Linked DNA regions of Macaca fascicularis. The main gene of each other region encodes a partner of the protein of the gene in region 2 in a complex. Links are inferred from orthologs where the notes say so. Each region holds a gene or a part of one and is shown on either strand. Other genes may lie near its edges.

Region 1 (4,201 bases), on a different chromosome or scaffold from region 2:
CCGCCTTTTCCTCCCCTACTCGCCTAAGAGCTTCAGAGAGAAACTGGCCCAATTACAAAGCAAACCAGAAACCTTTGTAATACTTCCGTGTTCAGCTCACATTGTCTTCAGCCTTTACTTGCAGTTATCACGTATCTGCATGGTAAAAATTTTACAAGAAAACGGGGGGCGGGGGTGATGGTGGAGAAAGCTCCAAACAGAAGGAAGTTGCAAAAGGGTGCTCTTTTGTGCTCAGGGTGGGCCGTCACCACACGAAGTCCCAGATCAACATCACGATCAACTTGGAAATCTGCACACGGAAACGAAAGAGCTGTACACTTACAGTACTTTCAGTTTATGTTAGTGTTATCTGACACTAAATGAGCTAATGATCTAGTATGTGCCCATAGCACTCAACTTCTGGTACCTATTGTTACTACCTATAATTTCCAAGTATTTCCTCTGCAGTACTAACATAACATTAAAGATTGGTAGTATGGTGCTGAGAAATCCAATAATCCCCCTTTTGAATGAAATTACAACTCATTTACTGAAAACATGCGTGGCTCTTAAAAGAGCCTTTGGGATTAGGTGTAAAGATGCTTACTTGGCAAAGTTACTTGGAACTGGTGTACTTGGTGACGGCCTTGGTGCCCTCCGACACGGCGTGCTTGGCCAGCTCCCCCGGAAGCAGCAGGCGCACGGCCGTCTGGATCTCCCTGGAAGTGATGGTCGAGCGCTTGTTGTAGTGCGCCAGGCGGGAAGCCTCGCCGGCGATGCGCTCGAAGATGTCGTTGACGAAGGAATTCATGATCCCCATAGCCTTGGAAGAGATGCCGGTGTCGGGGTGGACCTGCTTCAGCACCTTGTACACATACACGGAATAGCTCTCTTTGCGGCTGCGCTTGCGCTTCTTCCCGTCCTTCTTCTGCGCCTTAGTCACCGCCTTCTTGGAGCCCTTCTTTGGGGCAGGAGCAGACTTGGTAGGCTCAGGCATAGCAACGTTAATAATTACAACACTGTCGCAAACACCTGAGAAAATAATCACTCCCACCGATGCCCCGTTCATTTATAGATGCGGTATTCAAATGAGGTTAATCAGATTTCGTTTATGATTGGATTAATTTTTGTGTGTCGTCACAAATGCCAATGTAAACGACACTTAAAAGTCTACCTTTTCATTGGCTATTTCATTACTTTACTTTTACCCAATCAGAAAGCCCAGACCAGACTACCCGAGGCTACTATAAATAGTCGTCTTTAGACAAGTCAGCTGTGCACTTCTCTTGGAGCAGTTGTTTTTGAGATCACACTTTTTATTAGCGTTGTGGTGTCAGAACGTATACTGAAAGATACTTTAGGAGAGCTCACGTTCTCTTTTCTTCCTCTAACAAATTATAGGACTCGTTGCATACAGAAGTCATGGTAATTGGGATATCCCTGGAAGTCTGGCAGTTTTGCGTTTGGGAAGTCCTTCATCTATGCAAATGCTACATTTAAGGACCACGTATTTTCTGCAGTGTCAATTTCTAATTTTTAGTTGTGGCAGTGGTTGAAATAGTGTACTATGCCACCTGTGTCGAGACGTACTCCTCTGCACTCCATTGCTTGCCATAGTCTGTAGGGAGCCAGCACGGAAATTGAGTGTTCTCTATTCGGAACTCATACGTCCCAGCCTAGAAGCCCGGGAAAATCCCGACTTTTTTTCCCATGCTATTTGCAGGCCAGATCTCGCTAAGTGTTAAGTACTACGGAGGTCGAAATGGGTTTTAACTCCAGTATTCGAAAACGCAATAAAAGCTCAATGACGCGGCTGCACTCCTGCTTGGCCGACGGAACGAGAAATGACCCCCTGGCCAAAAACGGCTCCTCTCTCCCGACTTTGTTCCCGGGAGACCCGCCCCTCAATAGCGGCGTTTTCCCGGCCACACCCCCTGATAGTGTAACAGCTCTTTTACTGAAAGCGGTGGGTGGCTCTGAAAAGAGCCTTTGGGTTGTGTTGAGCTTCTAAGCAGTTGGCCAAAGGAACTTCCTACTTTTTCTTGGCTGCCGCCTTCTTTGGCTTGGCTGCCTTGGGCTTGGCGGTCTTTGGTTTAGCCGCCTTGGGTTTCACTGCTTTGGCCTTCGCTGGGCTCTTGGGCGCTTTTTTTGGCTTGGCTGCTTTAGCCTTTTTCGGGCTTTTCGCTTTTTTGGCTCCAGCAGCCGCAGCCGGCTTCTTCGCCTTCTTTGGGGTCTTCTTGGCGCTCTTCTTAGGGGTGGCTGCCCCCGTCGCCTTCTTGGGCTTCTTCGCCGCTCCTGTAGGCTTCTTGGCTTTGGCCGCGCCTGCCTTTTTAGCTTTAGGCTTGGCTTCCCCGGAGGCCGCCTTCTTGTTGAGTTTGAAAGAACCCGATGCGCCGGTGCCCTTGGTCTGCACCAGAGTGCCCTTGCTCACCAGGCTCTTGAGACCCAGCTTGATGCGGCTGTTGTTCTTCTCCACGTCATAGCCAGCGGCTGCCAGCGCTTTCTTGAGAGCGGCCAAAGATACACCGCTGCGCTCCTTGGAGGCGGCAACAGCCTTAGTAATGAGCTCGGACACGGGGGGCCCAGACGCTTTGCGCTTAGCCGCACCTGCGGACTTGCGAGCCTTCTTCTTCACGGGTGTTTTCTCGGCAGGGGCCGGAGCAGCGGGCGCGGCAGGCGCAGTCTCGGACATGTTGAAGGCAGGCGTGAGAGAGAGAGCAATTCGAGCCGGAAGCAGAGGCACTGGCCGGGACTCGGGCCGCGGCGCTGCGCCCGCCCGTTTATATAGGGCGGAGCTGCGCCGTGATTGGTGCGCTGTCCAGCCCGCCTCGCTGGCAGCCGCAGAGTGTCCTCTCGGATCCCGAGTTGTGTTTGTTACACCTCAAAAAAAGCCAAAAATATAAAAATTGTCTGCACCGAACTACCCGGTTTTTCTCAGATAATGATCCCCGAACCCTCAGGCTTCACGCAGATCTCAAATTATGAGGAAAGCACAAAGCCTTGTGCCAAAAACTTGCAATATTTCCCGCCGTGCTTGGCAAATTTCAACTCAGAGAAACAAAACTTTCTATTTTCTTCGTAAATTATAAACCGATCTTTAACTGTGGAGTTTTCTGACCTCTCAAATATGATTCTCCAAGTGGTTAGCTTCTGATATATCCAAAAAGCATGCCACTGGCATTAAGATTTTTATTACAAATCTGCACTTAAGTGAGGGAAGTAACACAGGCTCCTCGGAGAGTCCTGCCTATTGAGCCGAGGGCATTTGAGTTCATCAAACTGGTTTAGTTTAATGCTAAACAAATTATTCCTCATTTGACATTAAGTTTTGGACCCCTGGGACATCAATCTATGCAGCCGTGGTTTTACATCTGTCCGCTATATCTGAGTTTTAAAACAATTCCTTTGGATAATTCTTTCCCTTTCTGCTCCCAAGGGTTGGGGGCGGGGCTGTTGCTTCTCTCTTCTCTGGACAACTGCTCCATGGATTGAGATACCTTGAATTCAGGGTATTTGGGAACGAAGGGAAGTCCAAAATATACTCAGGGTACAGAGTTGAAAAAAGATTAATTTTCGAATGTGATGTTCATAAAGTCACTGGAAGTGGAGGTGCACTTTTCTTTAAAGCATTTGTCTGCAGCCTTGCTGAGTGCTTTTGGCATATGCTTCAGAACCAAATTGCAATAAAGTAGCTTAGAGCTGGAATTCAAACATTGATAATAAGGGAAAATAAATAAGAACTGTATATTGAAACATATGTACTCCCATTATTAGAGAAGCCCAGCCGCTATTATTACTGAATAGTTGAGGAATGACTAGTCCACTCACCATGTATGGTTTCAATCCCCCTGAAGACTGTATCCCAACGCTTCGCAGAGCGCAATAGAAAGAAAAATAAGTGACATGTAGTGATTAAATGACAAGTTCAAATTTCGATCTCAGAAGCAGAGCTTTGAGAGTCTATCTAAGCTATTATAAATCATTGCCCTCTGAAAACATCCTTTGAACAATGTCTGAGTAAATCTCTTTAGGTAGTTGCCCAACCAAGAAGAGTGTATGTAGGTTGGCAATGAAAGCCCAACTAAAAGAATTATTTCTGAATAACGGTATGGCTGGAACAGTATGGGTGGAACTACAAGCCACTTATCATGGAAACAAAATAAAATTTTGCCCAATGCTATAAGTTGATATGATACTGTTCTGTGGACGTGGCTGATTGTAA
Region 2 (3,808 bases):
GTCTGAACTTCAGCTAAAAAGCCAGATCCTCTAATGTTGTTTTTCTTTTCCCATTGCCACAGAGGGTGTTGCCAGTAGCAGAAGGAACTTGGGAGGGGTAGAAGCAAGGGCCCGATATGTGAGGAGGGACTGGGAGGCAAGACTGCTGAGCTCAGCTGTGTGCTTCATACTCTGGGGCATCTATGGATTCACTGATAGATCTCTTTGGGTCCAGCTCTAGGATGCCAGGAAGGCATTCACAGCAGCAGGTGCCAGGGGACAAGCTCAGTCTCAGCTGGGACCTGCACAGCATGGCAGGTAGATAAGTGGTCCTTAACTTGATCTGGTGGTTAAAGTAGCATGGCTACTGCTGAGGCTGGCAGGGCCCCCGATTCATGCTTGCTGAAAATAGAACCTCAGACCAACACACTTTGGATTAGGAACTCGCTAAATCTTTCCATTGACAAAAAGCAAAACCAAAGCCTTTGCCTATGAGGGGAGTGAATGGCTGGGTTCTTACTATAAGCAGATCTACTAAGTAGGAGTTTCACAAATGGCATAGGCTCTGGGGTTGACATCTTTCTGGGCCTCATCCTTGGAATGGGGATGCAAGTGCCATCCAGCAGATATTTGCAATCAGTATAGTTTGCCAAGGGAAGTATGTGGATATAAGTTCTTCCTGGAGGGACCCTGAGCCAGGAATCACACAGGTGGGGCTCCAGCCATGTAACAGTGCTGTAGTTCAGGTGACCTGCTAACAGGTACCACAAGAGGCAATTAGTGCTGGCCTATTAGGAGCATCTGCTCTGGGTACACTCCCCGGGTGGGGTCACTGCACGGTGTAGCACATAAGGGAGCCCACAGTAGCAGCCTAGCTGCTAACATTTCAGTGCTTTTTTTTTTTTTTTTTTTTTTTTTTTTAAAAAAAGATGGAGTCTCAGTCTGTTACCCAGGCTGGAGTGCAGTGGTGTGATCTCGGCTCACCGCAACCTCTGCCTCCCCAGTTCAAGCGATTCTCCTGCCTCAGCCTCCCAAATAGCTGGGACTACAGGCATGTGCCACCACGCCCAGCTAATTTTTGTATTTTTAGTAGAGATGGGGTTTCACCATGTTGGCCAGGCTGGTCTCAAACTCCTGACCTCTGGTGATCCACCTGCCTTGGCCTCCCGAAGTGCTGGGATTACAGGCGTGAGCCACCTCGCCTGGCCTCTCTGCATTTTATTACCACTTGCTTTGGGAAGATTGAAATCCCAGTTGCCTCTTACCTTGCTCCCTTTTCTCAGCTGTCCCCTAGGGGTCTTTGTATGATGCTGCTGTGAGAAATTGAATTTGAGTCATTAGAGGTAACTTCAATTAGCAGCTCCGGGATAATGGCTGTGCACCCGGGAGCTGTAGCCATAGTCAGATCGGTAAGAGAGCCAGCTTTCTGCTGATAGAGCAGGTGGAAGGCTAAGAGCACAGGCATGTGCTCACTGAGGTGTACACTTGTTCTTTCCCCTTAGGTTGAGTTTGGAGGCTTTACTCAGAATTGTGGAAATGCTTCAGATTTAGCCCCCCAGAAGCAGAGGACCAAGCCATTGATTCCGGAAATGTGTTTCACTTCGACTGGCTGCAGCACGGACATCAACCTTTCTACTCCCTACCTTGAGGAGGATGGCACCAGCATACTGGTTTCCTGCAAGAAGTGCAGCGTCCGGGTCCATGCCAGTGAGTGCTGCTCACCTTTCTGTGTGTCCTGTCCCAAGAGTATGGGCCTGCCCGCTGGACGTTCTTGCTACCTCCTGGCCTCCCGGCCCCTAAAAGATTGTTGATGTTTTATTGGGAGAGTCTGTTGCTAGTGGATTTTTTCTGTGTCTCCAGGGGTCCATACTGGCACTAGGCATCTCTGTGCCATCCTCTTGGTTGCAGATAGCAGAAAGGGATTAGTCCCTGCCACTTACTAGGTGTTTGTACCAGTGAATCTACAGTTTCTGACTTTTTGAGACTTTGAGCCATACTATATGCCTGAGCCCTGGGGACTCAGACTAAAGAAAACTAAGGGGTTTCTGTGAGATTTGGTTGTAGCTTTGGGAGGTGGTATATGGAAAGGAATTGCAAATCTCCCTTTTGACTCTGACCATTGGGTTTAATTTGCTCATCTTGGTGTCCCTGTTAGGTTGCTATGGGGTCCCCCCTGCAAAGGCTTCTGAAGACTGGATGTGTTCTCGCTGTTCAGCCAATGCCCTAGAGGAGGTGAGTGATCCCACATGGTTACTGTCTTCACCGTAAGTCTTGGTGCATATTCAGGGCTGTACGATTTCATGTCAGACTCAGTATTCCCAGCAGTCTGCATAGGGTCTGGTACGCGGCGATGTCAGAGAGCAAGTATTGTGAGAGTAAATCCTATGACAGTGAGAGCGGTTGCTGCCCACTTAACGGAGTCTGGACGCTGTGTTAGCTCCATTATGTGAAGACCAACTAGTGGTCTTCCTGTAGGAAGAACAATAACTCCCTTAAAAGAATTTAGCCATTTTGAGTTGGAGCCTCAGAAAGGGGCTCAGATGATTCATTGTGCAGTTTTCTCTTCACTGTACCCCTGGAACCTGGCTGTACCTAGCCCACAAAAGAAGCAGTCAGATCCCTGTCGTGCCTCTAGTTTGAGCAAAGTATCTTTCATGACTTTGCTAAGAGTTGTTATTAGCAGTAAACAGTGAGGAGGATTATATGAAGTCATGCGAATACTTGGCACACTTTAGCCCTGAGTGGCCTCTCCTTCCGACAGGGCGTCCTGGTGCAGGGGCTGCCTGGGTGAAGCCCCACATGCTATTATGCTGCTTTCTTATGTGGAGGAGTTGCCCAAAGCAGGTCCAGGGGAGAGCAGATTGAATGTTAATGACTTGGTGTTAACCACTTTTTCCTCCCTCTCCTTTCTTGGCAGGACTGCTGTTTATGCTCATTACGAGGAGGGGCCCTGCAGAGAGCAAATGATGACAGGTAAGTTTCCTGAGCAGTGCCTTGGAATGCACAGGCTCAAGTTCTGAAGCACACAGTGTCTTTGTGAGGGCACTAGCTGTTCTTCTGAATGACTGATGAGGATTTGGGAAGCACATCGTGTGGAGCTGGAATAGCATCTCCAAGACTCATTTTAAAAATGGAATGCTAAGGGAGCCAAGCAGTCTCAGACTTTCCAACTCTAGCTGCTCCTCTGCAGCAGAGATGTCAGTGACATCCTCCTTTGGAGGCGCTAAGAATGGACTCATGAGAATATGAAGGCTGTGAAGGTGATGCGCAGGGACTGTGTGGGCTGGAGTGAGGACATTCACCTTGTCACAGCTGGCGCTGGTGCGCAGAGGCGGCCACAGGCTAGCAAGCACTTCTCCACGTGGCAAACTCCCTGGCTCAGACCTGGTATTTGGAATGAGGCGAGTGTGCTCAAGGGCGACACTGAGGAGAGCTCAGACAGGCCCACCCACTATGGAACCAAATCTACTGAAGTTTCTGGGCTTCTCAGCTGTTGGACAGCTCATTTTTATGGAGTGAATCTTTGTGCTTAGACATGTGCTTGGTTGCTCTGAGGTGGAAATGTAAGATGAATGAGGTTTCTGACCTGGAAGAGCTGGCTGTTTAGGGCATGGTGCATGCAGGTCAGTGCTGAGTATCCTGCTTTTAAGTAGAATCCCGTGGCAACTTGCAGCACATGTTCAGTCCAGCCGCCTGCCCTCAAGAGTCCCTGTCATGCTGTCCCTGAGAGATGGCTACTCTGCTTGCTGCTTCTGCTCCTTCAGAGGCACTTGCTGCCATTATTTGAGGTCATTGTGTTCCTCACAATCACAGGATAGTGCTGGGAACA

What was found.
Region 1: the proteins of KDM4A (region 2) and H1-4 are in contact, whole or in part, in a crystal structure (PDB 6H8P), measured with the Homo sapiens proteins. The link is inferred for Macaca fascicularis from reciprocal best matches to the Homo sapiens genes KDM4A and H1-4. Residues at the interface, in NP_055478.2 of Homo sapiens: Ile71, Asn86, Ala134, Asp135, Asn137, Thr167, Ile168, Glu169, Gly170, Val171, Tyr175, Tyr177, Glu190, Asp191, Ser196, His240, Lys241, Ser288, Thr289, Asn290, Asp311, Met312, Val313; in NP_005312.1 of Homo sapiens: Ala24, Arg25, Lys26, Ser27, Ala28, Gly29.

Annotation. Positions count from the first base shown.
Region 1 is NC_088378.1:146,774,855-146,779,055, forward strand, and holds the start of H1-4 (histone H1.4), read right to left. Parts: upstream 2,735-4,201; 5' UTR 2,672-2,734; coding exon 2,012-2,671; 3' UTR 977-2,011; coding exon of another isoform or gene 596-976; 3' UTR 587-595; intron 290-586; exon of another isoform or gene 1-289. Other genes in the region: histone H2B type 1-M, read right to left, coding at 596-976. UniProt on the Homo sapiens protein: Histone H1 protein binds to linker DNA between nucleosomes forming the macromolecular structure known as the chromatin fiber. Histones H1 are necessary for the condensation of nucleosome chains into higher-order structured fibers.
Region 2 is NC_088375.1:191,079,382-191,083,189, reverse strand, and holds part of KDM4A (lysine-specific demethylase 4A), read left to right. Parts: intron 1-1,481; coding exon 1,482-1,686; intron 1,687-2,134; coding exon 2,135-2,211; intron 2,212-2,896; coding exon 2,897-2,952; intron 2,953-3,808. UniProt on the Homo sapiens protein: Histone demethylase that specifically demethylates 'Lys-9' and 'Lys-36' residues of histone H3, thereby playing a central role in histone code. Does not demethylate histone H3 'Lys-4', H3 'Lys-27' nor H4 'Lys-20'.